Linked DNA regions of Elephas maximus indicus. The protein of the gene in region 1 purifies or fractionates together with the protein of each later gene. This does not show direct contact. Links are inferred from orthologs where the notes say so. Each region holds a gene or a part of one and is shown on either strand. Other genes may lie near its edges. The genes, in order: RAB27B and SYTL4.

Region 1 (15,850 bases):
CTGATTTTTTTTGTAGTTTCTGGTATCTCTGGACACTGGGCCTCTCCAGGGGGTTTGTGGGTGAATCAGCTCACTCTCCTTGGTGCCCCCAGTGCAGGGGCTTCCTGTCAGTTTCCTCCATTCTGCTCAGGCAGTTAGCACTCTTCCATCTGTTTGCTAAAGGCAAAATATCTCTCATATTTTTTGCTTCTTTGCTTCCTATTGTCTTCATAAGGAGCCCTGATGATGCAGTGGTCAAGCATTTGGCTGCTAACCAAAAGGTCAGCAGTTTGAACCCACCAGGAACTCTGTGGAAGAAAGATATGGCAATGTGCTTCCGTAAAGATGACAGACTTGGAAATCCTTTGGGACAGTTCTACTCTCTCCTATAGGGTCACTTTGAGTTAGAATCAACTCAACGGCACCTTTATGAGTTAATGCCCTTCTAATTTCTTCCTTTTCATATGTTGGACTTTTGGGATGGAGAGGAAATAAACATGCCATGTTCAATGGGACTTCAAAATCTAGGTAACATTCGGACGATTGGTTGGCAAATAGAAATGAATAGAGGATATGAGTTGTCGTGTTTGGCACACAGAAATGTAGTAAGGACATGAGTTGCCATGTTGGCTGTTTTGTCATACACAATTACTTTTCTTCATCCATAGAATAAATGAAGTTACAGATGTTCTGAGAACAATAATTTGAGGAGATGTTAAGCAAGAGTATTATGAGTAAAGAAATTTTATTTTCAAATTACTTTGGATGAGACAGACTAAATAAGGGCAAAGTGGTTTCATTATTACAGAGATTTTAATGTGTTAAATGCTAATTGTGGATTTTCAGAGGTAGTAGCAGAAGCAGCATTTGGCAAAGTAGTCTGACCATGGAGCCCTTTTCACACACATACAAAATTATAAATGCCTCTCAGATGTAGGGTTCCTTGAAGAAGAGTTTGGGAAACTAACCTAGATTGCTCCCTTGCAAATTTTGAGTTTCTCTGACTCCAAATTACATAACAACGACATTTAAGGAATCAATTTTGATAAAAACTTTCTTATTTCTGCTGGTTTAATAGATTAAATGAAGAAGGTATTAACTTTTGATATAGGAAAAGAAATATACACATATATACACAGATATCAACATATACACACAATGAATATTTTATTTCAAAGTTTATAAGAGAAGTTTTTAGAATGGATAATAGTTTTATCTTTATAGTGATAGTCTCAAGCAGGAAAAGCTAAGGAATCTTAAAAACACTGGCAGTTTAGTAAAAGAAAGAAAATTTCAAATTGTGATGGCCAGTGTTATAAGATCTTAAAGGCACAGTCATTAAACCCAAGTTTGGATCACTTTTTTTCTGATTGTTACAAATTCAGTTTTGCCACTAATGAGTTGAGGAAAGACATCCTACTCTGCTACAAATACTTCATTTATCATAAATCTCCTGGGCCATAAAGTACAAGAAGCACAAGTGCTTTTTTGAAACCTGGAGCAGTTGGAGACCCTGGTAGATAACTCAGTAATTGACTTAGAGCCACCTATTCAAATATACCAAGTATTAGGGTCTGTATCTATTGGATTAACTGAAGTTATCATCTGATTAAGCTCATAGGTATTCACTATCATGCTTGCAGAGCCATCCATCTTCTACACTGGTCAAGGAAATCAGTCTATGGAGATGTGGCGGGAATCACCACCCTTGTGTGATTCAAGCTCTTAATGGTGGCGCTAATCTATGCAGTTCTTTCAGATATGGACCATTCTGTTGGATATATGTTTTTTTAGTTAGCAGGCATAGCTTCAGGTTCTCCAACTTCACCTTTCTATCACATTATCCCTTAATCTATGTTGTTGTTGTTAGGTGCCATCAAGTTGGTTCTGACAACCCTATGTACAACAGAATGAAACACTGCCCAGTCCTGTGCCATTCACAAAATCATTGTTATGTTTGAGCCCATTGTGGCAGCCACTGTGTCAGTCCATCTCATTGAGGGCCTTCCTCTTGCACTGATCCTCTACTTTACTAAGCGTGATGTCCTTTTCCAGGGACTGGTTCCTCCTGATAATATGTCTAAAGTATGTGACATGAAGTCTCGCCACCCTTGCTTCTACTGAGTGTTCTGGCTATACTTCTTCCAAGACATTTTTTCGTTTCTTCTAGCAGTTCATGGTACATTCAATATTCTTTGCCAATAGCGTAATTTAAAGGCATCAATTCTTCTTTAGTTTTCCTTATTAATTTTGTTTTTCTTATTCAGTGTAGTTTTAAAAACTAATCCTGTAGAGTGAAAAATACTTCACTCTACAGGATTATTTTTTAAAACTACATTTTAAGTTCTGAGAAATAGTAGGAGTGTCTTGATATTCGGAGTATCTTAATAAGTAAGCTTACATTATAATTATATGAAACATGGTATATATTCTTTTTTTCTCACCAGTGTGGTATAGGTTCATAAGCCCATAATGAATTTCTAATAAATATGTTTAAGTGTTCTATTTCCAAAATGACATGAAAATCCAAAACATTGTTCTCATGTTTACTTTGCCATTTTTTTTTATACCTTAATGTCTAAAAACCCACCACTGCCATTGAGTTGATTCTGACTCATTGCGACCCTATATCTATAGGTCACGGAAAAAAAATGGCAAAGTAAAATTGAGAATAATGTTTTGAATTTCCTTGTCAGTTTGAAAATAGAATACTTAAACATATTTATTAGAAATGCAATAGAAATTCATTATGGGCTTATGAACATTTACTGTATAATGACAAAAATAGAATATACCATGTTTCACATATAAGCTTACTTAGACACTCCTGCTATTTCTTAGAAATATAGTTTTGAAAGTAATCATGTAGTATGAAACTGTTTGCTATGACTAAACCTTCATTTCCTGGCTGTTATTTTTGTGACTTATCTTTAATATCATATATGATCAAGTATAATGCAAGAGCATTTCCCAAAATGACAACTCAAAAAAGAAATACTTTTCTTATATTGGAATCCTTCCAAGATCTCTCATATAATGGGACATTCACATAGCACTTTATTTTGAACAAAAGAGTATTTAGTGGGGAAAGACATACTTGCCTGAAATTACTTCACTGTTAGTTTGGATGCCTGGAAAAATTAGCTGATAATTGGTTGAAAGGCTGGCAATTTGAGAAAGACTTAATAATTACCTCTGAGTCTGTGACATCACTATTTGAAGTGTTGGTTATTTTTCAGTTAAAAAGCAGCAAAGGTTGTCAACAAAGAATACAGTTTTTTGGTAACATCTTTTGAGATAATGAAGGAATCACCATGTACTAATGTTTTGTTTATATGGTAGGCACATATGATATTTCATTTTGTATCTATCTCACTGTAAAGGCAGTAAAAAACAAATATAATTACATATTTCACATGTGCTTATATATGACTATATTTATATTCACACATGCCATTATATATATTGATACATGACTGTATGTGTGTATATGAATGTGTTTGTATGTATGTACACATATGCCATAATGACTTTACTATGCATTTAGTTTTGTTATTAATATGGATTTTCATCTCTTGATCAATTTGAGAAATTTAACAATTTTATAATTGTAACTTTGTCTGTAATCATACTTAGAGAATTTTTTTTTCTTATAAAGAGGTCTAATGCCATTCATAGGCAGAATCATGGCATACTCTCACTATGTTACTGTGGCTTCTTGTTAAAGCAGGGTTTGCATAAAGGCCATAGGCAAACATTACTCATGGGAGCATTTGTGCTTTTCCTGGAAGAAAAAATTGGACTAAGTTACAACACTCTCTGTGTAAGGCCCCCGTTTATCTTCATTTCATATTCTAAGAAACTGAAGCAAAAAGGTTAGAAGTGAGAAGGTTAAGACCTCACCATAGAGTGGAGAGATGCTCTAGATATAATTGAATGAACACGTCCAGTTTAATAAATTAATACCTAAAACAGGTCTTGACGTGTTACGTATTTGAAGCAATTTCCTTAGTAGAAAGTCACGTAAACATATATACTTCTTAAAGTCACATCTTTGAAAGTGGCTAAGAAAACTAGCATGACCTGGGAGTTTAGTCTTGTGACATATTAGTCAGACTGTGGGGTTTCCTCAAACTGGGGAGGGGTTGATTTCCATTTGTGATTAGACAGACTCCTCGTGAACTGAAGTAAGTGGAGGCACACCCATGTAAGACTTCCTGCAAACCCTTCCCTGCAATCCCAGGAGAAGACCTAGTTAGGAAACCTCTGATCTCATTAGCGTGGGATTCAAGTCAAGAGAGAAGACAGTAATTTTTAAGATTTGAGTATGGAAGGCATTATTTTGACCCAAATATAAATTCAAAGGCTCATACCACTGAGGAAACAGAAAAGAAACCAAACATAGTTGTTTAAAGCTTAAAAATATTCATTTTTCTCTTGGAATATCTTGTATCCTTGTGTCATGTTCCCTGCTGTATCCCCAGTGACTAACAGATTTCAAGGCACAAGTTGTTTCATAAATGTTTGTTGAATGAATAAATGATTGTGCAAACTCCTTACATCTATCTACATTCTCCACCCCAAATTCACTTTCTCCACTATTTATAGAGTATTATATTAAAATGTGGAAACCCTGGTGGCATAGTGGTTAAGCGCTATGGCTGCTAACCAAAAGTTCAGCAGTTCAAATCCCACCAGGCACTCCTCGGAAACCCTACGGGACAGTTCTACCCTGTTCTATACAGTCTCTATGAGTCAGAATCAACCAAATGGCAATGGGTTTGGTTTGGTTCATATTAAAATATACAAGTGTGTGAGAAACGCTGGTGGCATAGTGGTTAAGAGCTACAGCTGCTAGCCAAAAGGTCAGCCATTTGAATCCACCAGGTGCTCCTTGGAAACTCTATAGGCCGGTTCTACTCTGTTCTATAGGGTCGCTGTGAATAGGAATCGACTCCGTGGCAATGGGTTTTGGTTTGATTATACAAATATGTTAATTTTAATGTTTTCTCTACTGAACAAATGTCTTGTTTCTCTACTTATATTTTAAGGTTATGCGAATATTAATTTTATTTTTTATTAAGGTAATAAATTCTCATAGTTTTTAAAAAAGTAAAATGGTATTAAAGTTCTTATAAAGTAGAACAGATCTCCTCCTAGGCCACAGTCTCAGTCTCCACAGGCAAATGTTTTGACTCTTCTAGTGGTTTCTTATTGTACTTCCATATTTTAAATGGTTTGCTTACTCTGCTTTTTCTTTATTTAGCAATTTTACATATTATTTATTGACTTTCTGTTAAAATATTTGAGGAGTGGTTGCCTTACACACATATGTACATAGACTCTCTTGCTGTCTCTTTGTCTGTCCCTACCCTCCACATGAGGTTATATGATAGCTTAGGCTTAATTCAATTGCTGTGTCCCCATTATTTCAATTATACCCACACCTGTGCCGGGTGTTAACCAGTTGCCATAAAATCAATTTTAACTCATAGTGACCTCATGTGTGTCAGAGTAGAACTGTGTTCCATAGGGTTTTCAATGGCTGATTTTTTGGAAGTAGGTTACCAGGCCTTTCTTCCAAGTTACCTCGGTGTATATAATTTGATTTAAAATTTATTTCCCTAGACTTTAGGTGAAACTATTGATCTTAATAGTCCATGGCCTTCATTGCTGGAATTGTTTTCCATCATTTAATTAATTAATTTTTCCATCTTTTCTGGATAGGAAAAAAAATCTTTCCTGGAACTTTCTGAGATTTCAATTAGTCAGAAAAGCTTTATTCATTAGCTATTTTTTTATTTCTATATCTTTTTACTCAACTTTCTTAAAGACTTTTCCAACTTAATCTTCTAAATCATATTTTGAAATTTTTGAGTATAGTTTAACTTTCAAAAAGTTTTTCTTGTGTATAAATTTCTTTTCTATTCCTGTTTTGTAGGAGCAGAGATAAGAATGCATATGTCCAGTTCATCTTGTTGAACTGCAAATTACTCTAGTTTATCTTCTCCAGAAAATAAACCTTCGATCTCCTGGCAGCTAGGTTGGGCAGATGGAGAGCTTATGGTTAGTAGATTGCATAGCATGGAGAAAGGGAACTTGGCTCCCAGCATTACTCTATACAGACTTCTAACCAAACCCCTGTCTTCACCCACCACCTCTGCCTCCTAGGCCTGGGCCTCCAGGGCTAGGCAGGGAGAATCAGCTGGCTTCTTATCCTTAACCTTTCCAGCCAGCATGCAGAGTGTAAATTCCTTCTTCTTCCAAATCAGTGACGGCCTTCATCTGATTTAGGTTCTTCCCCAAATCCATTGCCATCTGTTGTGTCTGTTGATGTCTCCTCTCTCTCTTATTTCTCCTTACAGGTTAAGGAGCCCTGGTGGCACAAATGGTTAAGCGCTTGGCTGCTAACCAAAAGGTTGGCAGCTCAATTCCACCCAGCAGCTCCCAGGAGAAAGACCTGGCGATCTGCTCCCATAAAGCTTACAGCCTAGGAAACCCTACGTAGGAGTTCTACTCTATCACATGTGGTCACTATAGGTCAAAATCTTCTTGGTGGCACCTAATAACAACAAGGAGTTAATAACTATTTAAAAATTCATTTACTCTTGTTTTATAGGCGTTTGGAGAAGAGGAGATAAAACATGTGTGATTGATTTGCCATTTTTAACTAGATATCTCCCTAGGTACATTTATATATCTGTTTACTGAATTATAATCCTGTTGAAGACATAGATGATGTCTATTTAATTTGTGCTACATAAGCTCAGGTACAGGAAGCTCTTTTATATTATGACAAGTGATGCTGTCACCTTGCTTTCACTGGTTTTCTAGTATCTTTCTATTCTACTCTACATCTGGTCAAAGTGACTTTTGAGAAGTGGGCAAACAACGTTTTTCTCATGTCCCCCCACTGCCTTCTCCTCCTTGGAGCTCCTCTTCCCACAGGGAGGACACGTCCCTCCACTCTCAGGGAGCATCACTAGGTAACACTAATGGATCTGAGCCTCCGAACCTGAAATACAGGACTGTCTGTGGAAAGGGTGACTCCAGGAGAGCTGTCCCTGCCAGAGTTGATTCTAGGAGACAGCTGATACACTAATCTGGTGAAGAGTGACAAGGAGAGAGGACCATAAAGTGTGTTAGATTGTCTCATGGCAGAAACTTTTTCCAGAAATAATAGGGGGGCAGTACCATGTGGTAACCACCATGAGGTCCACATTTAGGACCTAACAGGTCAGAGCTCTGCCTTTCCTGAACTTCATGATTCTGGGCAATTTGTTAGGACTTCCTCAACCTCAGTTTCCTCACTCTTAAAATGGGGACAATAAAAATAATAGATACCTTGCCTATTTCAAAGCAATGTTGTGAAAATCAAATGAGATGATCTATGGACAAGGGCTTTATAAACTCTATCATATACAGGAAATAGTAGCTATTGGGATTAAAGTTAGTAAGTGAAGGCATAAACTAGGTAAAGAATACAGATGATCATTAGATAGCCCAGAGAATCATTTTAAAATTAACAATACATACAGTAGAATAAATTCAACATTGCTATGTTCTTCCTTTTAGTTCTACCCACATCTGCAGGCACACACACTTGCATATATGGATATGCTGATAGATGCAAAGCTGATTTACCGTAAATATTGATTACAGCATGTATAATTTGAAAATCTACAACCTGAAACTCATATATGTTCTCCTAGTAGATCAGAATTTTCTTTCTTTTTTTTTTTTAAATGCATTGGTCTGAATCAGCGAAGAGTGGGGAAGATTAAGTGTACCAACATAATAATAGCCAACATGTACATAGAGCTTATTGTGCCAAGCACTGTTGTATGCATTTTACTTAGATAACTCATTTACTCAAATTGACCCAGTGGAGGCATTATTGTTACCCCTGTTTTAAAGATAAGAACATTGAGACCAAATAATCAAAAATTACTCTAAAGCAAAGATGAGAACATAAGGGGGCAGGGAAACTAGAGTACTGGAAATAGTACAACCAAAATGGTATGATTGATAGCGATGACACTCTGTGAAAAATGTAACCAAGATCACTGAATAATTTGTGTAGAAATTGTTAAATGGGAACCTAATATGCTGTGTAAATGTTCACCTTAAACACAATAAAATATTATTTAAAAAAATACAAAAAAATAAGAACTTCTTCCATATTTTCCTAAGCTGAGCGCTTAGCCGTTGCACCACCAGGGATCCTTCTGATCCTTGAATTGACTTTAGAAAGCAAGGAGGGCTGGTGATACTGACAGATATATGAACACATCGGGAAACCCTGGTGGTGTAGTGGTTAAGTGCAAGGCTGCTAACCAAAGGTCAGCAGTTTGAATCCACTAGGTGCTCCGTGGAAACTCTGAGGCAGTTCTACTCTGTCCTATAGGGTCGCTATGAGTTGGAATCGACTTGACGGCAACACGTATGAGTAAAAACTGATTTTTAAAATGGGAATTTCTTTCCAGCTCCCCCTTTCTTTCCCCAGGCCCTTCTCTGTCCTCCACTTGCAATTCTTTGCTCTCTCTAGTTGATAAGGGAACCTATTCCCCTCTGAGAGGATATTATGCATCTGAAGCAGTTCTCTTCCCAGTGCCCGGGGCTCTTCGAGTCAGAGACGTAGAAGAAAAACCCAGAGAAATAAATTGAATAAGATGAACTCACTGCTAGGGTTTGAAGCCCTACAGCGCAGAGAATGTCACCAAAAGCCAAGTGTGTTTGTTATCCCAGCAGTTGAGTCACCAGCAAGACATGCCTGAGGTGAGCTCCTCACATCCGCGTTGGGGCTGGGAGACACGCCTTCTTCTCACACAAACCTTTCAGATCCCGGCGTCTCAGGCCGGCTGCAAGGGGTGGTGCTACATGTCCCGCCACTTGCCGTCCTGCCGGGCAGGGCTGGGGACAGATCCAGGGTCCCAGGTTGGAGATACAGGAGTTGTCCCCATGATAGACGCCTGGCAAAGGCAGGTCCCGTGCTGCTGCTGGTGTTGAAGCCCAGGAGTTTAAGGCCTCGGGAGAGGGGCAGGGAGCCGCTCTGAAATCTGACACCAACCGTGTCGGCCGAGAAAACTTCGCAGGCTGGCTGGTGAGTAGGGAAACCGGGCTGTTCTTGCTGAAATGCGTTCCCACCCATCCAGGGAGCTCTCGGCGCTGCCTGCGAAGGGAAGTGAGACGTGGACGCGAGCAGCAGGCCTGGGAGAAGGGGCGCGACTGCAGGCTGTGCCTGGGACCGGGCTGGTTCCGGGTGGAGCGCGGTGGACCTGCGGTTTCCTGCAGAAATACACGCGTACGACCCAAGGATGTGTGCTGCACAGATGCCATCCGAAAACTCTGGCCGGCTGTCTTTGTTTTGGTATTTGCGTTATCAAACAGCTGGTTGGGACAAAAAACTAGGCACAGCAATGCTGATGTCCTTCTATCTGTATCTCAAAACCAATAACCAAACGTAATAGTAGTAATAAATATATCGCTACTACTAATAATAATAGTAACAAAAATAATGTGTTTAAAGAAACCTGACATAGGCAAGTCAGGCAAGTGCGTGCTAGGGCATTTCTCTGTACTTCTTCAAGTGAAATAGCCACTGAGAAATCAAGAGGAATTTCTGTTTTCCAATTTTTGGCTCTGTTACTTCTTGTTCTGTTTAAGTGGTGCTGCTGCTGCAGTGTGTGTGTGCGCGCGCTGTTCAAGCGATCGTAATAAATTAGTGTCCAGGATTTTCCTACCTAAGGAAACATTACCTGATTTAGCACCTGAAAACTAATAGAGCAGGTGAAATGTAACTAGTAAAAGCAGAGAAAGCATTCCAAGGGAAAAGCTGAGCTTGGTTAAAGTCATCACACCTGTGGCATGTTTACCAGCTCTTTATTTAAGAGCTAAAATTAAGGGCATAAGATTCCAGTTTTTTAAATGGTAAATTATTAAACTAAGCCCTAATTAATAACATGAAATTTCTGAGTTATTAGCAACAGAATTGTTATTTAATATAATATAGCCATAACTATTGATTTAATTCTGTTTAAAAGGAAAATATGTACTGTTCACGGCATCTAGTTAAAGGTCTTATATATAAGAACACATTTATTTATATATCTTATATATACACTTATATATGTACACTTACATATATAAGTTTATTTATATATACTTATGTACACATATGTACACACTTATGTAAATATAAATTTATCTATACACATACTCAGTAATAAAAATGTGTCGTCATATGCAGGATTTTATAGTGCTAAACTTTGAAGAGTTGACAGAAAAGCTGGACTTCAGCATTATGGCCCGAGGTATTTAAGTTCACTGAATTCTCAAGCTACTATAATGTCCAAATCATAGTTACCAAGTGAGAGCTATACTTGTCTCACATCCCCCAAATAGTTATTTTTCCTAGTTTCCCAGCATAATCCTCTACCCAGATGGGATTAGGTCTTTTTGAAGGCAAAAGAGGATTCTTACAGATGATCAAAAAGGGGTAATTTTGACAGTGTAATATTAATGAGGCTTCTCTGCTTAAGAACTATGAACACCGTAGAATATTACCGTCGTTGCTTTTGAAAGGAAAACAAAACATTTCACATGGAACTGGATGAGCCTGTTCTCAGAGTTGCCAAGATGGGATAAAGGGAATCTGTCAAATGTAAGCAAACCACAGCTCTCCTTTCTCATCAGCCAGTCTGGAACAGACATATTTGACCTAATGAGGAAGGTAACTCTACTGTAATCTATCTTCTCAACTCCTTGGCACACCATGCTATGCTAAAACTATCTGCTGGTTTCAGAATTGCTTTTCATTTATTTAACTGTTCTTCTGGAAAGGTGGAAGTGATCCAAAGCCCCAGGTGGCTCAGAACAGAAATCTGCTCTTTTCCCACCTTCACACTTGGAAATTTCTGATTCATTTCCTTAGCTTTTCAGTTCAGTAGACCGTGAAATGTAGACCAACTATTCACATAAAAGCTCTGCACACAATTACTCCAGTTTCATGAATCAAGGATCTGGCAGGTTAACCAATACTTTGGCTCTTAAGCAAGTAATTATAATGGGGATATGTAAGAAAATGATTGCAGTCAAAGCAGACAGCACAAACCTGGGTGTTTCACATGAAGAGCATGCCACTTGCTTATAAGGGCTGTTAAAGGAGGATGACTTTTCACCCATTAGTAGGCGTATATGGAGCTTAGCTTTATTAGGTATTAGCAGGAAGTCACAACATCACTAACCATAATTAACTAAACTATTGTAAACCCTATATAGAGTTGAGAGTATTAATGTATTTCACAACTTTTGTGATCATTATTCATGTTCTCCAAATATTAACCTTCCCTCGTCTCTCATGGATACTCCTTAAATGAGGGAAGCTTCTCTTGGTTATCAGTAATGAGAATAAAACCCTGTTTAAAAACTAGCCAAAAATTTTTCAGTAAGTTCAGTCTTTTTAATTAAACCACCGCTCAACTTACTGAGAAAGATAATATATTAAACTGCTTATTCATTTCTTGAACAAATACTTATTGAGTGCCGAGCAACAGGAGACGGGAGCACTATTTTAGACACTGTGTGTGCAGATGTGAATAAAACAGACAAAATCCCTGCCCTCAGCTTGCATTTTACCTGGGAGATAGGGAGTAAACAAGTCAAACAAGCTAAATCTATGGTACAGTAGAGGTAAATGCCAAAAAGCAGAGGAGAAATGCAGAAATTTGTTTGAAATTTTAGATACGGTGTCCAGGGAAGCCTCACTGAGGTGATAGTTGAGTATTGATTAGAAGGAAGTGAGGGAATGAGCCATGTGGATGTAAGGGCAAAGAGGACTACAGACTGAAGGAACAGCAAGCAAACAGAAAGAAGCCCATACAAATGGAGAAAAGGGAATGAGCGGAAGGCATTCAGTCAGATGAGTAATGGAACCAGATCACAGAGGGCTTTGAGGGTCATCAGCAATGTACTGACTTTTGATTTTTATTCTGAGTGAAATGAGGGGACACTATGATTTGGATACAGCCTGTCAGAGATTCATTCAATAAATACTTGTTGAACACACTGTGAACTTTGGTACTCTCTAAGCACTGTGTATAACCAGTTGCTTGTCAAGCCAACTCTGCCTCATGGTGACCCCCTGCATGTCAGAGGAGAATGACGCTCCATAGGATTTTCAATGGCTGGTTTTTCAGAAGGAGATCACTACGCCTTTCTTCCAAGGTGTCTCTGGGTAGACTTGAATTGCCAACCTTTCAGGTAGCAGCCGAGTGGGTTAACTGCACCACCCAAGGACTCCTTAACACTGTAGACACCAGAAGTTAATCAAACACACAAGGCTTCTGCAATCGTGGAGCTTACATTCTAGTGTGGGGAGACAGACACATAAGTAAATAAGTAAATAAATAGTTCTGTAAGTTTCAGTGCTAAAAAGGAAAAAAAAAATCAATAAAGGGGAAGATAATGAGAGTGATCTGGGGAGACTCTGTGTGATCAGTGGTCAGGATAAGTCTCAGAGAAGGTGACATTTAGGCAACCTTGAAGAGAAGGATTGTAGGGCATCCAAAAAGGACATAGGGAGACAAGTGAGGAGGCTATTCCTGTAGATCAGGGATGACAGTGGCTTACATTAGAGCTGGAATGTGGTCACGGAGGGACATGGATAGATTTAGGAAAGTCTTTGAAGGCAGAGCTGACAAGCTGTGTTGACAGATTGGATGAAGGGTGGGAAATGAAAGAAAGAAGAAACAAAATGATCACTAGATTTTGTGCTGAACAAACTAGGTAGATGGTAAAGCCATTTCCTAAAAAAACACTAAACTAGGGGAGGAACAGATCTTAAAGAGAAATTAGGAGTTCATATCCATCTACTTGAGGTCTTTTTGGGTATCCAAGTGGAAATACCAATTTGGGCTTTTGGATATATGAATCTGGAGCACGCGGAAGGAGTCAGTCAGAGCCGAATACAGGAATTTGAGATTCAACCACCTATGGATGCTATTTAGAGCCACTCTCTTGAGGGTTATCACCTAGAGAGATGGTAGAGAAAAAAGTATAGCACTGAGGACCAAGTTCTGCTTTATTTTAACATTTAAGGATGTTGCAGAGGAGGATGTCAAAATTAGTTGGATTTGAAAAAAACCATTAGAAAGTCTATCATCAATCAAATATTGCTAGTGCTGAGTAGTGTACAGCTATGGGTATGACATTCAGTCTCTTCAAGGCCTTGATCTTCTCCTGTGTAGAATAAAAGGAATAGATTATTTTAAGCTTGTATTATATTTGTCCGATCTAACTTGTGTAAAGTCCTCAGAGCCTGAGTAGTTTGTTCAAAGAATAGCTCAGTTTTTTACTATTTAACGTATGTGATTTTCATAAACCCGATGTACTATTGATAAATATTTCTGGACATGTGGACGTATTAAAAATATAGAATAGAATTAGTTTTTTTTCAAGGAGGGAAAGGAAAACTAGGCATCTCCTAGTGCTTAAAAAAAAAAAATGCAGAGACCTTTTCCAATGTCAAGAGTTGCCATATATTGACTAAGTGCCTCCTTGGACTGTGGTATGCCTCTGATTTTCTGAAGTTTTTTTCCCAAATGCTGGGAAGTGCAGGAGAAATGCAATCCATTTGCTAATTTTTTAACTCCTTAAGTAAACTGTATATACCGCAACTAACTACATAGAAACTGTTATTCATAACCCCAGTCCCACGCCCACTCCTGTTCAATCACTGATCATAATCTTCCAAGGTTGGCAATGTCCGTCATCAAACCCCACCTCTCAGGGCTTTGAAGTAAACTGCCTCTATTAGAAACAATTCTGCAAGACATATCTTTCACTTTAATGAAAACATTCTGGTATTTATAACTAAGGGTTACAACATAATGAAACAGGCTTAGATAAATAGGCCATCATATGAGAAAAGGAGCCCTGGCGGCACAGTGGTTAATAGCTCAGCTGCTAACCAAAAGGACAGCAGTTGGAATCCACCAGCTGCTACTTGGAAACTCTATGGGGTGGTGCTACTCTGTCCTGTAGGATTGCTTTGAGTTGGAATTGAATTGATGGCCATGGGTTTTGTTTGTTTGTTTTTTATGAGAAAAACCTATAATCTTCAGTTAGAAATGGTGTGTTAGTTGATGTAGATTCCATAAAACTGGTTACCAGTGAGTGGATTCTGACTCATGGAGACCACATGTGTGTCAGAGTAGAACTGTACTCCATAGGGTTTTCAATGACTGATTTTTCAGAAGTACACCACCAGGCTTTTCTTCCAAGGTGCCTCTGGGTCGCCTCCACCCTCCAAACTTTTGGTTAGCAGCTGAGCAGGTTAACCTTTTGCACCATCCAGGGACTCCAAAGACTGCATAGTAGTAATAAAATAAAATGAGCAACTTCGGGTTTCCATTTCTCCACTTTCCGAGGCCATCATTAAGTACTACTTATTTTGAAATTTGCATATACCGTCTCCCCAAATGTCTTTAGATTTTAATATTTCATTTAATTATTATAAAAATCAAGCAAACAAAAGTAGAATGCTTAAACTCATTAGTACTGCTTCTGGATCTTTCTTTAAATCAGCACCCTCTTCTCCCAGGAGTCTATGTATTTGGTATAATTCATTCCATTTGAGATTACAAAGCAGGCAATTCCTAGATAAAGGTGAGAGTGAACTCACAAATGAAGGGAACATGGTATGTGGGTCACTTAATTCAAAGGATAAAAATAAGAAATCCTAGGCTTATTGGCATTTGGGGGAGCACAAATCCTGCCTATGGTATATCAGCATAAACTTGGGGGAAAATGCCATGTGAGTTGTATTAAAGTTGGCAATGTTATGTTTTACAATAAAAGATCTTCTCAAAATGTTAAACGTGATAACTGCAATTTAACCTCTGGTATAATTTTTCTGTCTGATTTTTTTATTTAAAAAAAAAATCATTAAATGCAAACTATGTGTCAGTACCACACTTGGTACTGTGGTTGTAAAGATGAATAAAACATAGTTCCTGCTCTTGAATAACTTAGAATTTGGTAAGGTAGAGAAATACATAAGCAGATAATTTTAGTGTAACCTCTTAAGGTTAAAGTTGGTGAATTGAATGCAGTATTGTGATGGCAAAGTGGAAGATATATTTAAGGGGGTTAAAACAATGGAGAGATCAGTTAGGAACGGGAAATAAAACAAATCTGAAATGAGTTCAGTGATTATAAGATTGGAGAAGAAAAGACAGATTAGAAAAATAATTAATAAGGGTGGGTATTGACCAGCTATTGGGGGAAAGGAGAAATTTTTATTAAGTTTAAATTGCTGGCTTTAATGATGAAATAGATGGATGAATCGTGGTTTCATTAATTAAAATCTGGCACAGAGAAGGCAGAGCAAGTTGAGGGAGGAAAAGGAAGTGTTCACTTTTGGACATAGTGTATCTGAGGTACCTGTGGAATCCAATCCAATATGTTCAGCGGGAAAATAACTTCAGGAATCTGAACCTCCCAGGAGAGGTCAGGCTGGTAATAGTGATTGGGAAATACTAACAGGAATGTGATCTCTAAAATCCATGAGACCACGTGCTATCTCCCAGGGAGGCACTGGAAAGAGGAAAAGTAGTAACCATAAGAAAGGACTGGTGATTTTCTTTCTTTTCTGTCATTACGGATCTGCTTGAGCTAATAATGACATTTAAATCTTAGAAGGACTTAGAAATGTAAGGTTATATAGCTAATTATATATATTTACCATTATTAAAGTATAACAATAATTGGAGAGAAACGTTAAATATACCTGTGGTTCTTAGTTTCTGAATACAATATCATTTATGTTATTCTGTCGGAGCACTGCCAGATTCCAAGTTCTTTAAGAGCA
Region 2 (15,265 bases), on another chromosome or scaffold:
CAGCTCCTTTGTTCTCAGCAACTTCACAGATCCTGCCCTCTTTCTCTCCCAGCTCAGTGGAAGAGCTACCTCCCTTTCTCTAAGGCCAGACTTTTCACCCCTCCTGCTTCCCTGGGGACTTTGCGTCATCAAGCTCTCCACCATCTAGACATAAATGGGCTCTTCTCTCTCCTATATTTTACAACAACAGCAACCTTTTCTGGCCCCCTGCGCCCTACTGTCTATAAGAAACACTCTCTCCTCACCATAGCCAAGCCTCTTTCAAAGTGTATACCATATTCCCTAATGGTCCTCATCACTCTCCACCCCTCTACAATCTGCCTTGTCTCCTCCTGCTGCACTGATGTTGTCACTGACCTCCTAATTGCCAAATCTAATGATCATGTTTTTTAAATGTTTTATAGTGTGTTTTATCTGATTATGAGAGGGGTACACATCATGAACAAAGTTATGACACATGACAGACTGGAGAGAGAGAGAAAAAAACTTGTACTATAGAAAAGGCAATAGGTAAACATCTCTAATAAATATAGTGTTCTTACAAACAAATTAAATACATAACCCAAAAGAAAAATGTGCAAAGGATATGAAGGAGCAAGTCTCAGGAACAATACAAACAGCTAATACACATGAAAAGATGCTCAGCCTCACTAATGGTCAGAGAAATGAAGGGTAAATCAGTTAAATACAATTTTTCACCGATCAGGTTGGCAAAAATTGAAAAGACTGTCCATCATCAGCAAGGATATGAGGGAAAGCACTCTCAGTGGTGAGAGTGTAAACTCTTTTGGGTGTCACTCTGGCGGTGCCTACTCAAATTTTTAAAAGTACATATCCCTTCACTGAGAACTTCTCCTTCTAGGGAGCTATACCACAGAAACGTGTGTGTGTGTGTGTTTTTGTGTGTGTGTGTATCCTTGAGCACTGTGCAAGAATGTTCATTGCAGCCTTGTGGTTGCTTGGAGTGGGTGATATGCAGAGGAAATGGAGACATGTGGCAGAATAAATGATATATTTTGAAGATAATGTTGACAGCACTTCCTGATGAACTGGATGTGGGGTTGGGAGAATAAGAGAAACCAAGGGTGACCCTCAGTCCTTGGACTGAGCAACTGAATGGATGATAGTGCCGTTTCACTGAGATGGGAGAGGATGAAGGGAGGGACTAGTGACAGGGGGGGAATCAGGAGTTCTGTTTCAGTTATATTATGTTTGAGATCTCTATTTGGCATCCAAGTAGAGATGCTGACTAGGCTATTGGATATATGTCTAGGACTTAGAGAAAAGGCCTAGGTTAGAGACATAAATTTTGGAGTGATCAGTGTATAGATAGACATCATTTAAAGCCATGGAGCTGGATGAGATCCTCTGGGAAGATTTTGGATGGAGAAGAATCTACAGACTGAGACCCCTGGGTCACTCCAATGTTTAGAGGAGAAAAATTTATCAGAAGACGAAACTAAGCAGAATTTTGTTGTTGTTGTTTGTTTTTTAAACAAATTTGGGAGATAAATTTATCAGAAGAGGAAACCAAGCACAATTTTGTTGTTGTTGTTTGTTTTTTAACAAATTCAAATTTCAAAAACATTAATGTTTATCAAATGGTGGAGAATCATATATTTACCACCTTAGGAAGGGTCCAACTCCTTCCAAGCCTGTCTTTTGAGGGATTCTGGCCTGGTTTTTTTCTTTTTTTTTTTTTTGGTGGGGGGTAGTCCCTGGGTGGCATGAATGGTTAAGTGCTCAGCTACTAACCATTCAAGATTGGTGGTTTGAACCCACCCAGAGGTGCCTCAGAAGAAAGGCCTGGTGGTCTGCTTCCAAAAGGTCACAGCCTTGAAAACCCTATGGAACCTGCCTACCACCATCAACTGCTCTGACTGTGATCACAATAAAGGGTCCGGACAAAGCGGGAGAAAAATGTACAACAGAATTCACAAAAAAGACCCGATTTACTGGTCTGAGAGAGACTGGAGGAACCCCTGAGACTAGGAACCCCTGAGACTAGGGACCCCAGACACCCTTCTAACTCAGAACTGAAGCCACTCCCAGAGTTCACCTTTCTGTCAAAGATTAGAGAGGCCTAGAAAACAAACAATAACACAGGTGAGGAACGTGCTCCTTAGATCAATCAAGTCTATGAAACCAAACGGACAACACCTGCCCAAAAGCAAAGATGAGATGGCAGGAAGGGACACGAAAACTGGACAAATGGAAACAGGGAACCCGGGGTAGAAAGGGGGAGAGTGCTGACACACTGTGGAGATGTCAACCAATGTCACGAAAGAATTTGTGTATAAATTTTTTGAGTGAGAAACTAATTTGCTCTGTAAACTTTCACCTAAAGTGCAGGTGCGCGCGTGCACGCACACGCGCGCACACACACACACACACACAGCCTATAGAGTGCAGTTCTACTCTGACACACATGAGGTCACCATGAGTCAGAATCAACTCCACAGCAGCTGGTTTGGTTTGGTTTGGTTTGGGGCCTTTTTTCTTTCTGAATATTTAAAAACATTTAAACAGAAAAGAGTAATTTTTTTTTCTTTTATGTTACTTAGTAGTTTCCTCACACGGCGTAATTATCCTAGTACAAAAACTGTCAAACTAAACAAGTAGCATTCATTCAGCTATGGCTTTTCTGTAAAGTTCATAACCCAATAACCACTTCATGCCTAAAGGTGTAAGAGTGACTTTATTGGGAGGCAAGAAACCTAATCTGTGGCATCTTATAAGGTCCCTGGGTGGCACAAGTAGTTTGTGATGTCTGCTAACCAAAAGATTGGTAGCTCAAACCCACCCAGCAGTGCCATGGAAGAAAGGCCTGGCAATCTGCTTCTGTAAAGATGACAGACAAGAAAACCCTACGGAGCAATGTTATTCTATAACACTTGGGGTCACTGTGAGTTAAAATCGACTCAAAGGCAACGGTCTTGGTTTTTTGGTTTTTAGAGTCTTTTCAGCTATTCACTTCCCAGACCACACAGTAACTTTTCTCCAGCATCCTACTGAGAAACCAAATGCCTGTGAAAGGCCTCAAGACATCTGATAATCCACACTGCCCGCTTCAGCACAGACCCCTTCCTACCAACAAGACCCAGTGCCGTTGAGTCGAGAAGCACAGCATTTTCACTTTTCGAAGTTTCCACCAGAGACCTATGCTTTAAAATAGGAGAGAGGAAGCGCTGCCAACTAGGTCAAAGTGGTCATCAGGAATGCAATCTCAAAGTAAAACTCAACAGAAGGAAAGCTATGTGAGAACTGGGTGTGGGGTACCCTCACAGCTGTAGGGCGATAAACTGGGTAAGCTTAGTTTCAGGTCCAGGAGAGTACAAAAGAGTGCCAATTCATATAACAGTAATGTCATTCATTAATTCATTTAACAAATATTAGTAAGTACCTAAAGAAAATTTTTTTTTTATGATGTGTCAGGCTGTCTTCTGGGTGCTGGGATCTACCAGTGAATAAAACAGACAGAAATCCCTGCCCACATGAAGTTTATGTGATAGTGGGAGGAGACAGACAATAAGAAAAATGAATAAAATACACACAGTATGCTACATTAGAGTAATAAGGTAGGGAAGGGAGATCTCGAATGTTCACGGAAGGGGTTGCAATTTTAAAAACAGCAAAGGTCTCACTGAGAAGGTGACATTTAAGTACAAACGCTTAGCTGCAGGATTTTAAGTGCCTCAGGAAGGTGTCTTTTGTAGTTTACCAGATCTCAGGTCCTTTAGGGCACTGTGTCCCCAGTTCCTAGCACAAACATTTGTTAATCCCTTGTGCTTAGGACAAATTGAGCTCTGAGATCCAGACCTTGCCCTTAAAGAAGTAACAACCTTTCAGGTGAAAAAACAACTAGGAGAGGTGTTAAGGACTCCACTGAGGTGTAAACAAAGTGCTTTAGGACACAGAAAAACCCTTTCAAGGTCCAATTACTTTCTGTTTTTTTGATACCATGTGTTTTCATTAATGGAAGCATGCTGAGTCATAAAACAAAAAACCAAACCTGTTGCTGGCTACTTGGTTCTGACTCATAGTGACCATACAGGACAGAGGAGAACTGCCCCATATGGTTTCCATGGAGTGGCTGGTGGATTCGAACTGCTGACCTTTTGGTTAGCAGCCTGAGCTCTTAACCACTGTGCCACCAGGGCTCCATGTTGAGTCGTGGAGTGTGTTTACATTTTTGGTGGATTTGAACTACCAACCCTTTGGTTAGCAGTTGTAGCACCTAACCACTATGACACCAGGGTTTCCGGTTTTCCAAATATGACACACACACAAGCAAAAAAAAAAAAAACCAAAACCCATCAGGGCTCCCTATCACACAGGAAACCATAAAAATTTTTACAAGGCTTATCTAGGGGTACAAAAGCCAAAAGGGATAAAATTTTTACCCAATCATACTTCCTGATTGCACTACCTAACTCAGAAGCCTCATACCCCAGCTATTTTGCTTCAACTAACATTTCTTTCATCTTTCTCCATTATGCAAGTCCCCACTGGAGGGCAGCAAATACTTTTAGCAGTAAAAGTATACAACCAAAGAACCTGAAAGCCGGAAAAAGTGGGTGATACACCATATATACCATGAACCATGAAGGACATAACTAGTAATTCTGCCTGGGTGTTCAGTGAAATTGTATCAAAGGAGGTGACTTTAGATAAGCCTAACCCTAACCTCCAGAGAAGCTAAATCTTGAGAGATGAATACAAATTAATGACTGGGTGTAAGTAAGGGGTGGCGTGCTAGCTTTTCAGGAAGAAGAAAAAAAAAAGGAACAATGTGAGCAAAGACCCAGAGATGGGATCATATTATCCCTGCTTTTTTTTTTTAACCATACCCATCAAGTCGATTCTGACTCATAGACGGATCCTATAGGACAGAGTAGAACTGGCCCATAGGGTTTCCAAGGAGCAGCTGATGGATTCAAACTACCAACCTTTTGGTTATCAGCCACAGCTCTTAACCACTGCACCAGGACCAGGGCTCCCTGCCTAAGGTAACCTATTCATCCCAGGATAAAACAAGCACACAGTCTCCCTCAGGCTCTCTGGCCTGGCTGTTGGGAAGTTCTTATCACCTACCGCACCCTTGTTTCTCCCCTCGCCAGCAGGAAAGGAAAATGTTGATCCAGGAGCACATCCCTAGAATCCAGGGTTACCTTCTCCTATCTTCAGGACAATCACTACTGAGCTGAGAGCCTGGGAGGTTTCATTCATCTGGGTACACTCAGGGGTGTGTGCTTATGGTGGCAACATGACAAGTGGTCCCACATTTGGAGCAAGGTGGGTAAATAAATCAGTGAAATAAGTGGTCCAGAATCACCACAGTGTATCTAAGGTAAGTTAAGGACCAAAATTTATGCTTCAGTGTGGAAGGAAAATTTTTAGTCACAGTCTTCACCCACGAGCTATTAGCATTCCTAACATCTAAGATGGTAGAGGTGGTATGACAGAGGATAGGAACACAAACTCTGTGGTCAGATGGCCCAGCTCAGCCCCTCATCAGCTGGGTGATTTGGGGCAAGGTACTCAAGCTCTCAGAGTCTTCTTTTCATCATAATATGGTTATAATTATAGTGCCTACCACATAGAGTTATCTTGAGGATTATATGAGATAGTTATGTAAAGAACTTATCACAGTGCCTGGCTCAATGAATTCTAACAACCATTATTAGTAACAGCCTTTAAGGAGAAAAAACTCAGAGAACATTCACCAGAATGCTACATACACTCACAGACCAATTACTCCAGAAGAGGCATCTAACCTCCATTTCACTCATCTGTTCTGGAGTGAGGCACCTGAAATGGTATTACCAGAAATGTTCATCCTCTGCCCAAGAAAAGCCTCACAAGCCAAGTTGGTGTTTTTTTTTTTTTATATACTAAGATTTCCAGCTGGTGCTAAATACATGTACTTATAGATCTACATACACTGCATCTGGGCCTCACCTCTGCATTAAACATTGCTCTAGCCACAGATCATCGGGGTAAACAAATTAGATCATTAATGCCTTAATGTTAATGGATTTGTGAGGGGTGCAAGAGCAGAAAAGAAGCCAGTTAAATATAGGAGATCCAGGATATACTGAAGACTAAGTTCTGCCACAAATGTACAAGGTCTAGGGTCAACCCTGCCAAAAGCAGTATTCTGGAATGCTAGGTCCTCTGGTCCAGAAGAAGCAGGGAGAAAAAGAAAAGGTTGGTTAATGAAAAGCAGGTGCCTTTTTAAGCCACCAGCGTTCAAACCAAATGATTTCACCACCAAAAAACTCCCAACCATCTCATTCAAAGTGAAGGACTGGAGGAACACCTTTTCTGCCCCATTACAAACCATCACAGGAGACAGAAACGTTCTGTGTCCCACTCTGAGGGCTCTGGAACGTTTCTCCAGGAGCAAACTCCTGAAACCTGCTTGAAGATTGGCAAGATAAAGCACTTGGGCTCCAGAGCACACAGCCCGGGTCCCCAGCCCCAAGCGCAGAGGGAGCCCACTAAGGCAGGACTCGGGGCCAACTGGCCTCCAGCCTTTACCTGCGGAGGACAAGCCGAGGCGAGGGCAGCCGACGCCGCGAGGTCCGCGGTCCGGAGTCAGGGTAGGGCAGAGACGGCCGAGCGCTGCGGGAGGAACCGACGGAAGGGTGACTCGACGCCTCCGAGGGCGCCGCTCCCGCTAGGAGCTCAGCCCTACCCCCGCCCCTAAGGCTTGCTTGCGGGAGGGGCACCGGCTCCGGCGGGCGGGAAAAGCTGGGACACTCGGTGGGAGCGGAGACCCCCAGGAGGCAGAGCCCAGAGGGCAACAGCACGCGTTAGCGACGGGTGGGCCAGGGGAAGGGGACCAGAACAGGCCTGGGAGAAAAAAAAAAAACTCGTGGGAGGGGATCGCCCCAAGCAGATCGGACTCAACGTGTGGGGGGAGCGGTCCGGAGGGGCGGACAGGGGAGAGGAGACAGGCGGTCTGCTAGGGGCAAGTATAGACAGGGAGAAGCAAAGGGGGATAGGGAAGGACGCAGGTCCCTGAGATGGGGGTGGGGGGACGCTTTGGCAGCGAATAGGGGCTGGGGGCCCAGAAGGAGCACCGGACCGAGGGCTCAGGGCCGCTGGCTGCGGACCTACCTGTCACCTGCAACAGGTGCCGCGAGAAGGCGAGACGTCCCAGTGCTGGATTCAGGGGAGGGTCTCCAGCTCCTGGAAGATTGCCACCCCGCTCTTGCGGCCGGCCCTTCTCACCCTCCAGGGAGGCGGAAAAAGCTGCAACTTTCCCTGGAGCGGGGAGGAGCTGCACTCTTAAAGGGGCCGCACAGCGCTCCGGGCTCCTAAGTAGGGGACCGCTCCCCTAAAGGGGAGCTTGGGGAGCCAGAGTCTTAAGACACTTGTAGAGTGTGTCCTCCCAGGCTAGGAAAAAAGACCTTGAGACTGAGGACAGGGGTCTAAGATTAGACATCTGTGATCACTTTCTTAGATGGTAAAATCATCTACCTCTTCCGCTCAGCTGAGCCAAAGTTGTCAAATTGTCGCGTACTTCCAAGAATACGAAGACTCTGGACTATATAATTCGGGAGGATAAAATGTGACACCATTCTGATCCTTTGACTTTCGGCCTTTTATGGTAAGTAACAGTGGTTAAAATACAAACGTGTTGGGCAAAGAACATAGACGAAATTCACACTCACACACACGGACACAACTGGTTAAAATATTAAACTCACTAGTAATCAAATAAGAACAAAAATGAGATTCTTTGGCAAAGGTTTATATTATTGCTATTTTAACACTTAATGATGACAAAGTGGCCACCAAACAAGGTCTCTCATACTTGCTGGTTGGAGTGTAGGTTAGTAAAAAAAAACTTAGAAAATAAAGCACGGGAGCAATATATATCAGTAGACTTTAAAATGTTCCTATCTACCCAGTAATTGTAGATTTCACTCTCTCTCTCTCATTCTCCTCCTCTCCCTCCCTATCTCCTCTCCTCCATCCTTCCCTCTCTTAAGTCACTTAAATGCTCAAGTCTCTCTCATCTGTCATCAGCAATTACACAGTGTTCAAGTCTCTGCCATCTTAAAAAATAAAATATCCTTCCTACTCTCCAGCTCCTTTTCATACGCAAATTTATTGAAAATGTACTTTACAGGTACATTTGCTATTTCCATTCCCTTCTCATTCATTTCTCAACCCTCAGCAATCTGGCTTCCTTCCCCAACACTCTGCTGAAACTGTGCAGCAAAAGATATCCAACCAATAGGGTACTTTCAGGCCTTGTCTTGCTGACCTCTCCATGGCATTTAACACTGTTAACCATTCCCTCCTCCTTGAAACTCTTCCTGTAGCATCTATGACCCCATACGCCTTTGCCTTACGTCCTACCCCTTTGTCCCCTCCTCAGTCTCCTTTGTAGGTTCCACTTCTGCTATCTGACCTCTAAAAGTTGGAGGTTCTCAGGCTACATATACTCTCTCCCTAAATGATCTTTTCACTCACTTAGCTTTAATTAATATATACACGGCCACAGCTGTAATCATATTGTTCTACATAGACCTCTTCACTGACCTCTGCTTTCTTGACACCTCCACTTGGATGTCTTGCAGGCACCTCAAAGTCAATACATCCAAAACTGAATCCACCATCTTCTCTATTATATTTGCTCTTTCTCCGACGTTTGCTATCTCACTTAATGAAAACATGCCACTCAAGGCCGAAACCTGACAGCTAGTATACTACCTGGCTCATAGTAGGCCCTCAATAAATATTTGTTTAATGAATGAATGAATGTGTCCCAAGGAAACAGAGACGTACACAAGATTTTTGTACAATGATGTTAATCCCAGCATTCCTTAGAATAATAAAATACTAGGAAAAAACCTAAGGGTTTAATACCTACCTACCCATTGCTGTGGAGTTGATTCCAACTCATAGCGACCCTATAGGACAGAGTAGAACTGCCCCATAGGGTTTCCAAGGAGCAGCTGGTGGATTTGAACTGCCGACCTTTTGGGTAGCATCCAAAGCTCTTAACCACTACGCCACCAGGGCTCCAATGGTTTAATAGTTAAGTTAATTACAGTATTTTCATACAGCGCAATACTATATAGCAAAAAAAAAAAACAACTCATTTTATACATAGTGCACAATGACAGGGAAATGCATATACTATAATATTAATTGAAAGTAAGATACAAAATTTAATATATAAGATGATCACAACAATTAACAAAAATGAGGAAGATGATATGCATAGAAAAAAAGACTAGTAGGAAATATGCCAAAATATTAACAGTGGCTGTCTCTAGGTGGTGGAATTGAATGAATTTTTAGTTTTCCTCCTGCTTCTATATATTTTTCAAGTTTTTTATAATGAGCTTGTATGGCTTTGATAATATGAAAAAATAATTTTTTTAATATTATAAAGAGAAAGAAAAGAAAATTTTTAATTTTTAAAAGACTAAAGAGTAGAATTCCACTCCCAGGCTCTACCTGGAGTTCTCTTCCCTACTTTAGCCCTTCAATTCCCTGCCCCCAGCCTGAAGTGTAGAAGAGCCATTTCAAAAAGCAAATCCTTTTTTTTTTTTTTTGTCTGTCTAGTTTTGCCAATTCAGCCCTTGGGGCCCATTTGCTCAGCCCTGGGCTTTTAATGTGTTCCATGTCCCAAACCGGGAAGGAGGGGAGGAAGTTCCAGGCTCTTGTCTTGCCCTGGGCTGTGGGAACTCAGACCAAGCATTTCTCTGTTCCTACTTCACCTGGGGTGCTTGAGGGAAGCTGGTAACACCCTCAACCAGAAGGGACTTCAGAAAACACGTAGTCCAACCTCCTTATTCCTCAGCAAATTGCAAAATTTCCAGATATTATTTTAAGCTTTTACTTCTTTCTACATATGCAGTGTCCCACTCTCCAAGGTTGGCCTCTTCTCTAAGACAATCTCACTGACTCAGTTACAAATACACAGAGAGAGACAAACAGAAACAATGAACCAAAACAAAGTTAGGAAATGGCTGGTTTACATGCATTCTGTGCTCTGCATACTGTTGCCCAGTTTGATCCTCCTCCTCTGTCACAAGGATTCTATGCTCAAATTCTTATACTAAATATTGTGAGGGATCCAATGTGACCAAACTCAGGTACTACCTTGTACAAAAATGTAAGCAGGAATTTATGGATTATCATCTTATGTATAGTATGTAAACTCCTGTTCCATAGTGAATGATTGGTTTCAATGAGTTGTTCGATTTTGCCACGTTGAAGGAGTTCTAGCTAGTGCAAACTAATAAGACGGAGATTTTCCACAGCCCTAGCTGACAAGATGCCTCATTATTGAACAATTACTTTTTTAAAAAAAAAAAAGTGTTAACTATTTCAAAAAATACATGGATCTATAAAGAATACTATAACAAGGACACGCTCACTACCCAGCTTAAGAAACAAGGCAATATCAATACAATTTAAGCCTCTTGCATCCTCCATCTGAGGCTTTCACCATCCCAGATCTGGCCTTCATCATTTCCATGCATGTCTTTATACATTTACTACATATTTGTCTATCACTAAGTAAAAAAAAAAATGTAGTTTTTAAACACTTTATATAAATAGTATGTAGCTTCTGATATTTGCTTTTTTCACTCAGCGTTATGCTTATGAGATTTATCCATGTTGATATATGTAGTTCTAATTTATTCATTTTCACTGCTGTAGACCATTCCAGGGCATAAACATATTGCAATTTATGTAACTGTTTTTCTGTTGATCAGATACTTTTTTAATTGACAAAGTCTTAAATCCCAGATACAGGGGCCCTCCCTCTTTACCTCATGTTAGGTAAGTTTGCTTTTGTAAAAACAAAACAAAAATAAAAGCAGGTTTCCTCACAAAGCAAATTTAGTGCACTAGTGATCTACAGTGAGTACAGGATGTAAAAAGTAGATTCAGTCTCTCAGTCAGTCAAAATCACAATTTCTCAACCTCTGCACTATTGACATTTTAAACCAAATCATTATTGTGGGGGCTGTGTCCTGTGCATCATGGGATGTTTAGCACAATCCTTGGCCTTTACCCACTGGATGACAGTAGCAACACTCCCAGCACTCCCAGTTGTGACAAACAAAAATGTCTCCAGATATTTCCAAGTATCCTGGATTAAGAATCATTGGTCAAGATATACTTGTTAGGTGCTGTCAAGTTGGTTTTGACCCACAGTGACCCTATGCACAACAGAACAAAACACTGCCCAGTCCTGTTATATGCAAAGCATTTTAGTAGGTGCTATAGGAAGAGCACCTACTAAAATGCTTTGCATATAATGAATGCTTAGTATATCTTGACCAGTGGTTCTTAATCCAGGACATTTGGCAATACCAAATGTCTGGAAATGTTTTTGGTTGTCACAACTGGGAGTGCTGGGGGTGTTGCTCCTGGCATCTATTGGGTAGAGTCGCTGTAGGAGGAAGAGGACCCCTGGTGGCACAGTGGTTAAGAGCTTGGCTGCTAACCAAAAGGTCAGAAGTTCGAATACACCAGCCACTCCTTAGAAACCCTATGGGGTAGTTCTACTCTGTCCTATAGGGTTGCTATGAGTCAGAACAAACTTGATGGCAATGGGCTTGTTTTTCTTTTTTTTTTTAATAAGAAGAAGATGTGATAGAAGATGAACAAACACTGAAAAAAGGTCACTCATTCAAAGATAGGTATTGAGCATCTACTAGTACAAAGTATATGGTACTAGGCACTGGGCTTTTGGTGATCCTTGTCCTCAAGGAGCTCACAGTTTATGGGGGTGGAGGAAAACCACAAACATAAAATTACAGAACCTTGTGGGAAGTGCAAAGCTAGAGAGATGCACAGACTGTGTGGGCGCACCTAGGATGACCACTTATGGCAGTCTGGTGGGTCAGTGAAGGGTCTCTGCAAGAGGATGCTTCTCTAAATCTGGAAGGATGATTAGAAATTAGCTAGGACAAAAAGGAGGAAAGGCATTCTAAGCAGAATAATAGCATAAGCAAGAGGAAAAAGGCTAGAAACACTGGTATATGCAAAGGATGTATAAGGTGTAGCCAGAGAATAAAATTTAACAAAAAAAGTGATGATTGCTGAGGCTAGAAAGATCGTCAGGGGCTACATCTTCAGAGGCCTGTGAGTCATCTGAAACAATTTGTATTTTATCCAGTAGCTAATGACAGCCATTCGAGGAGAAAAAAAAAAAAAACCTGTTGCCATCAAGTCGATTCCGACTCATAGCTACGCTATAGGACAGAGGAGAACTTCCCCATAGGGTTTCCAAGACTGTAATCTTTATGGAAGCAGACTGCAAAACCTTTCTCCCACAGAGCTACTGGTGGATTCAAACCCCCGACCTTTTGGTTACCAGCCAAGGGCTTAACCACTACACCACCAGGGTTTCTTTGAAGTTCCCTACTCTGCCATTTTTCGTGATGTTACTTTTTTTTTCATTTTTGTGACTAAATAATACTCGTTTATGGATATGCCATATTTTGTGTATACATTCATCAGTTCATGGATATTTTGGTTGTGTCAACATTTTGGCTATCATGAATAATGCCCATCACTTACCTATCATTTTGTTGTACTGTGTTAGCTTGCATGTTGCTGTGATGCTGGAAGCTATGCCACCGGTATTTCTAACAGGACAGGTTTCAGTGGAGCTTCCAGACTAAGACAGACTAGGAAGAAGGGCCTGGCGATTTACTTCTAAAAAAATAGGCCAGTGAAAACTTTATGAATAGCAGCAGAACATTGTCTCATATAGTGCTGGAAGATAGCCCCTCAGGTTGGAAGGCACTCAAAATAGGACCAGGGAAGAGCTGCCTCATCATATTAGAGTCTACCTTAATGATGGAGTCACACTTTCAGGACCTTCATTTGCTGATGTGGCATGACTCCAAATGAGAAGAAACAGCTGCAAACACTCATTAACAATAGGAACGTGCAACACACGAAGAATGAATCTAGGAAAGTTGGAAGCTGTCAAAAATGAAATGGAATGCTTAAAGATAGATATCCTAGGCATTAGTGACCTGAAATGGACTGATACTGGTCATTTTGAATTAGACAATCATCATATGTTGTACTATGCAAGGAATGACAATTCGAAGAGGAATGGTGTTGCATTCATTGTCAAAAAGAACATTTCAAGATCTATGCTGAAGTACAATGTTGTCAGTGATAGGATAATGTCCATACGCTTACAAGGAAAACCAGTTAATACTACTCTTATTCAAATTTACCCACCAATGACTAATGTCAAAGATGAAGAAATTAAAGATTTTTACCAGCTTCTGCAGTCTGAAATTGACCAAACATGCAATCAAGATGCATTGATAATTACTGATGATTGGAATGCAAAAGCTGGAAACAAAGAACAAGAACCAGTAGTGGAAAATATGGCTTTTGTGATAGAAACAATGCTGGAGACTGCATGATAGAATTTTGCAAGACCGATGACCTATTCATTGGAAATACTTTTTTCCAACAACATAAACAGTGACTATACATGTGGACCTGGTTGGATGTGATATACAAGAATCAAATCAACTACATCTGTGGAAAGAGTCAATGGAGAAGCTCAATACCATTAGTCAGAACAAGGCCAGGGGCTGACTGCAAAACGGACCATCAATTGCTCATATGCAAGTTCAAGTTGAAGCTGAAGAAAATTAAAACAAGACCAAGAGAGCCAAAGTACTACCTTGAGAATATCCTGCCTGAATTTTAAGACCATCTCAAGAATAGATTTGGTATGTTGAACACTAATGACCAAAGACCAGGCAAGTTATGGAATGACATTGAAGACATCGTACATGAAGAAAGCAAGAGGCCATTAAAAAAACAGGAAAGAAAGAAAAGACCAAAATGGATGTCAGAAGAGACTCTGAAAGCTGCTCTTAAATGTCGAATAGCTGAAGCGAAAGGAAGAAATGATGAAGTAAAACAGCTGAACAGAAGATTTCAAAGCTTGGCCCCAGAACGCAAAGAAAAGTGTTATAATGAGATGTGCAGAGTACTGGAGTTAGAAAACCAAAAGGGAAGAACACGCTCAGCATTTCTCAAGCTGAAAGAACTAAAGAAAAAATTCAAGCCTTGAGTTGCAATATTGAAGGATTCTCTGGGCAAAATGTTGATCAATGCAGGAAGCATCAAAAGAAGATGGAAGGAATACATAGAATCACCATACCAAAAAGAATGGGTTGATGTACAACCATTTCAGGAGGTAGCTTGTGATCAAGAAAAGATGGCACTAAAGGAAGAAGTCCAAGCTGCACTGAAGACATCAGTGAAAAACAAGGCTCCAGGAATTGATGGAATACCAATTAAGATGTTTTGAGACATGGATCCAGTGCTGGAAGCGCTCACTCATCTATGCCAAGAAATTTGAAAGACAGCTACTTGGCCAACTGACTGGAAGAGATCCATATTTGTGCCCATTCCAAAGAAAGGTGATACGACCAAATGTAGAAATTATCAAACAATATCATTAATATCACACACAAGTAAAATTTTGCTGAAGATAATTAAAAACATGCTTGCAGCGGCACATTGTCAAGGAACTGCCAGAAATTCAAGCCACATTCAGAAGAGGATGTGGAATGAGGGATATCATTGCTGATGTCAGATGGATCTTGACTGAAAGCAGAGAATACCATAAAGATGTTTTAATGACTGTATGAAGGCATTTGTCTGTGTGGATCATAACAAATTATGGATAACATTGCAAAGAATGGGAATTCCAGAACACTTAATTGTACTCATGAGGAACCTGTACATAGACCAAGAGGCAGTTGTTCAAACAGAACAAGGTGATACTGTGTGGTTTAAAATCAGGAAAGGTGTGCATCAGGGTTGTATTCTTTCACCATACTTATTCAATCTGTATGCTGAACAAATATCCAAGAAGCTGGACTATGTGAAAAAGAACACAGCATCAGGATTGGAGGAAGACTCATTAACAACCTGTGATACACAGATGACACAACCTTGCCTGCTGAAAGTGAAGAGGACTTGAAGCACTTACTGATGAAGATCAAAGACCACAGCCTTCAGTAGGGATTACACCTCAACATAAACAAAAGTCCTCACAACTGGACCAATAAGCAACATCATGATAAACGGAGAAAAGACTGATGTTGTCAATGATTTCATTTTACTTGGATCCACAATCAGCACCCATGGAAGCAGCAGTCAAGAAATCAAACGATGTATTGCATCGGGCAAATCTGCTGCAAAAGACCTCTTTAAAATATTAAAAAGCAAG

Evidence for each region.
Region 2: the proteins of RAB27B (region 1) and SYTL4 purify together in Homo sapiens (co-immunoprecipitation; 3 studies listed by BioGRID and IntAct, counting the BioPlex papers as one, with this or other methods). This does not show direct contact. The link is inferred for Elephas maximus indicus from reciprocal best matches to the Homo sapiens genes RAB27B and SYTL4.

Annotation. Positions count from the first base shown.
Region 1 is NC_064829.1:63,458,123-63,473,972, forward strand, and holds the start of RAB27B (ras-related protein Rab-27B), read left to right. Parts: upstream 1-8,796; 5' UTR 8,797-9,082; intron 9,083-15,850. UniProt on the Homo sapiens protein: Small GTPase which cycles between active GTP-bound and inactive GDP-bound states. In its active state, binds to a variety of effector proteins to regulate homeostasis of late endocytic pathway, including endosomal positioning, maturation and secretion.
Region 2 is NC_064846.1:57,577,191-57,592,455, reverse strand, and holds the start of SYTL4 (synaptotagmin-like protein 4), read right to left. Parts: upstream 7,255-15,265; 5' UTR 7,126-7,254; intron 6,628-7,125; 5' UTR 6,544-6,627; intron 1-6,543. UniProt on the Homo sapiens protein: Modulates exocytosis of dense-core granules and secretion of hormones in the pancreas and the pituitary. Interacts with vesicles containing negatively charged phospholipids in a Ca(2+)-independent manner.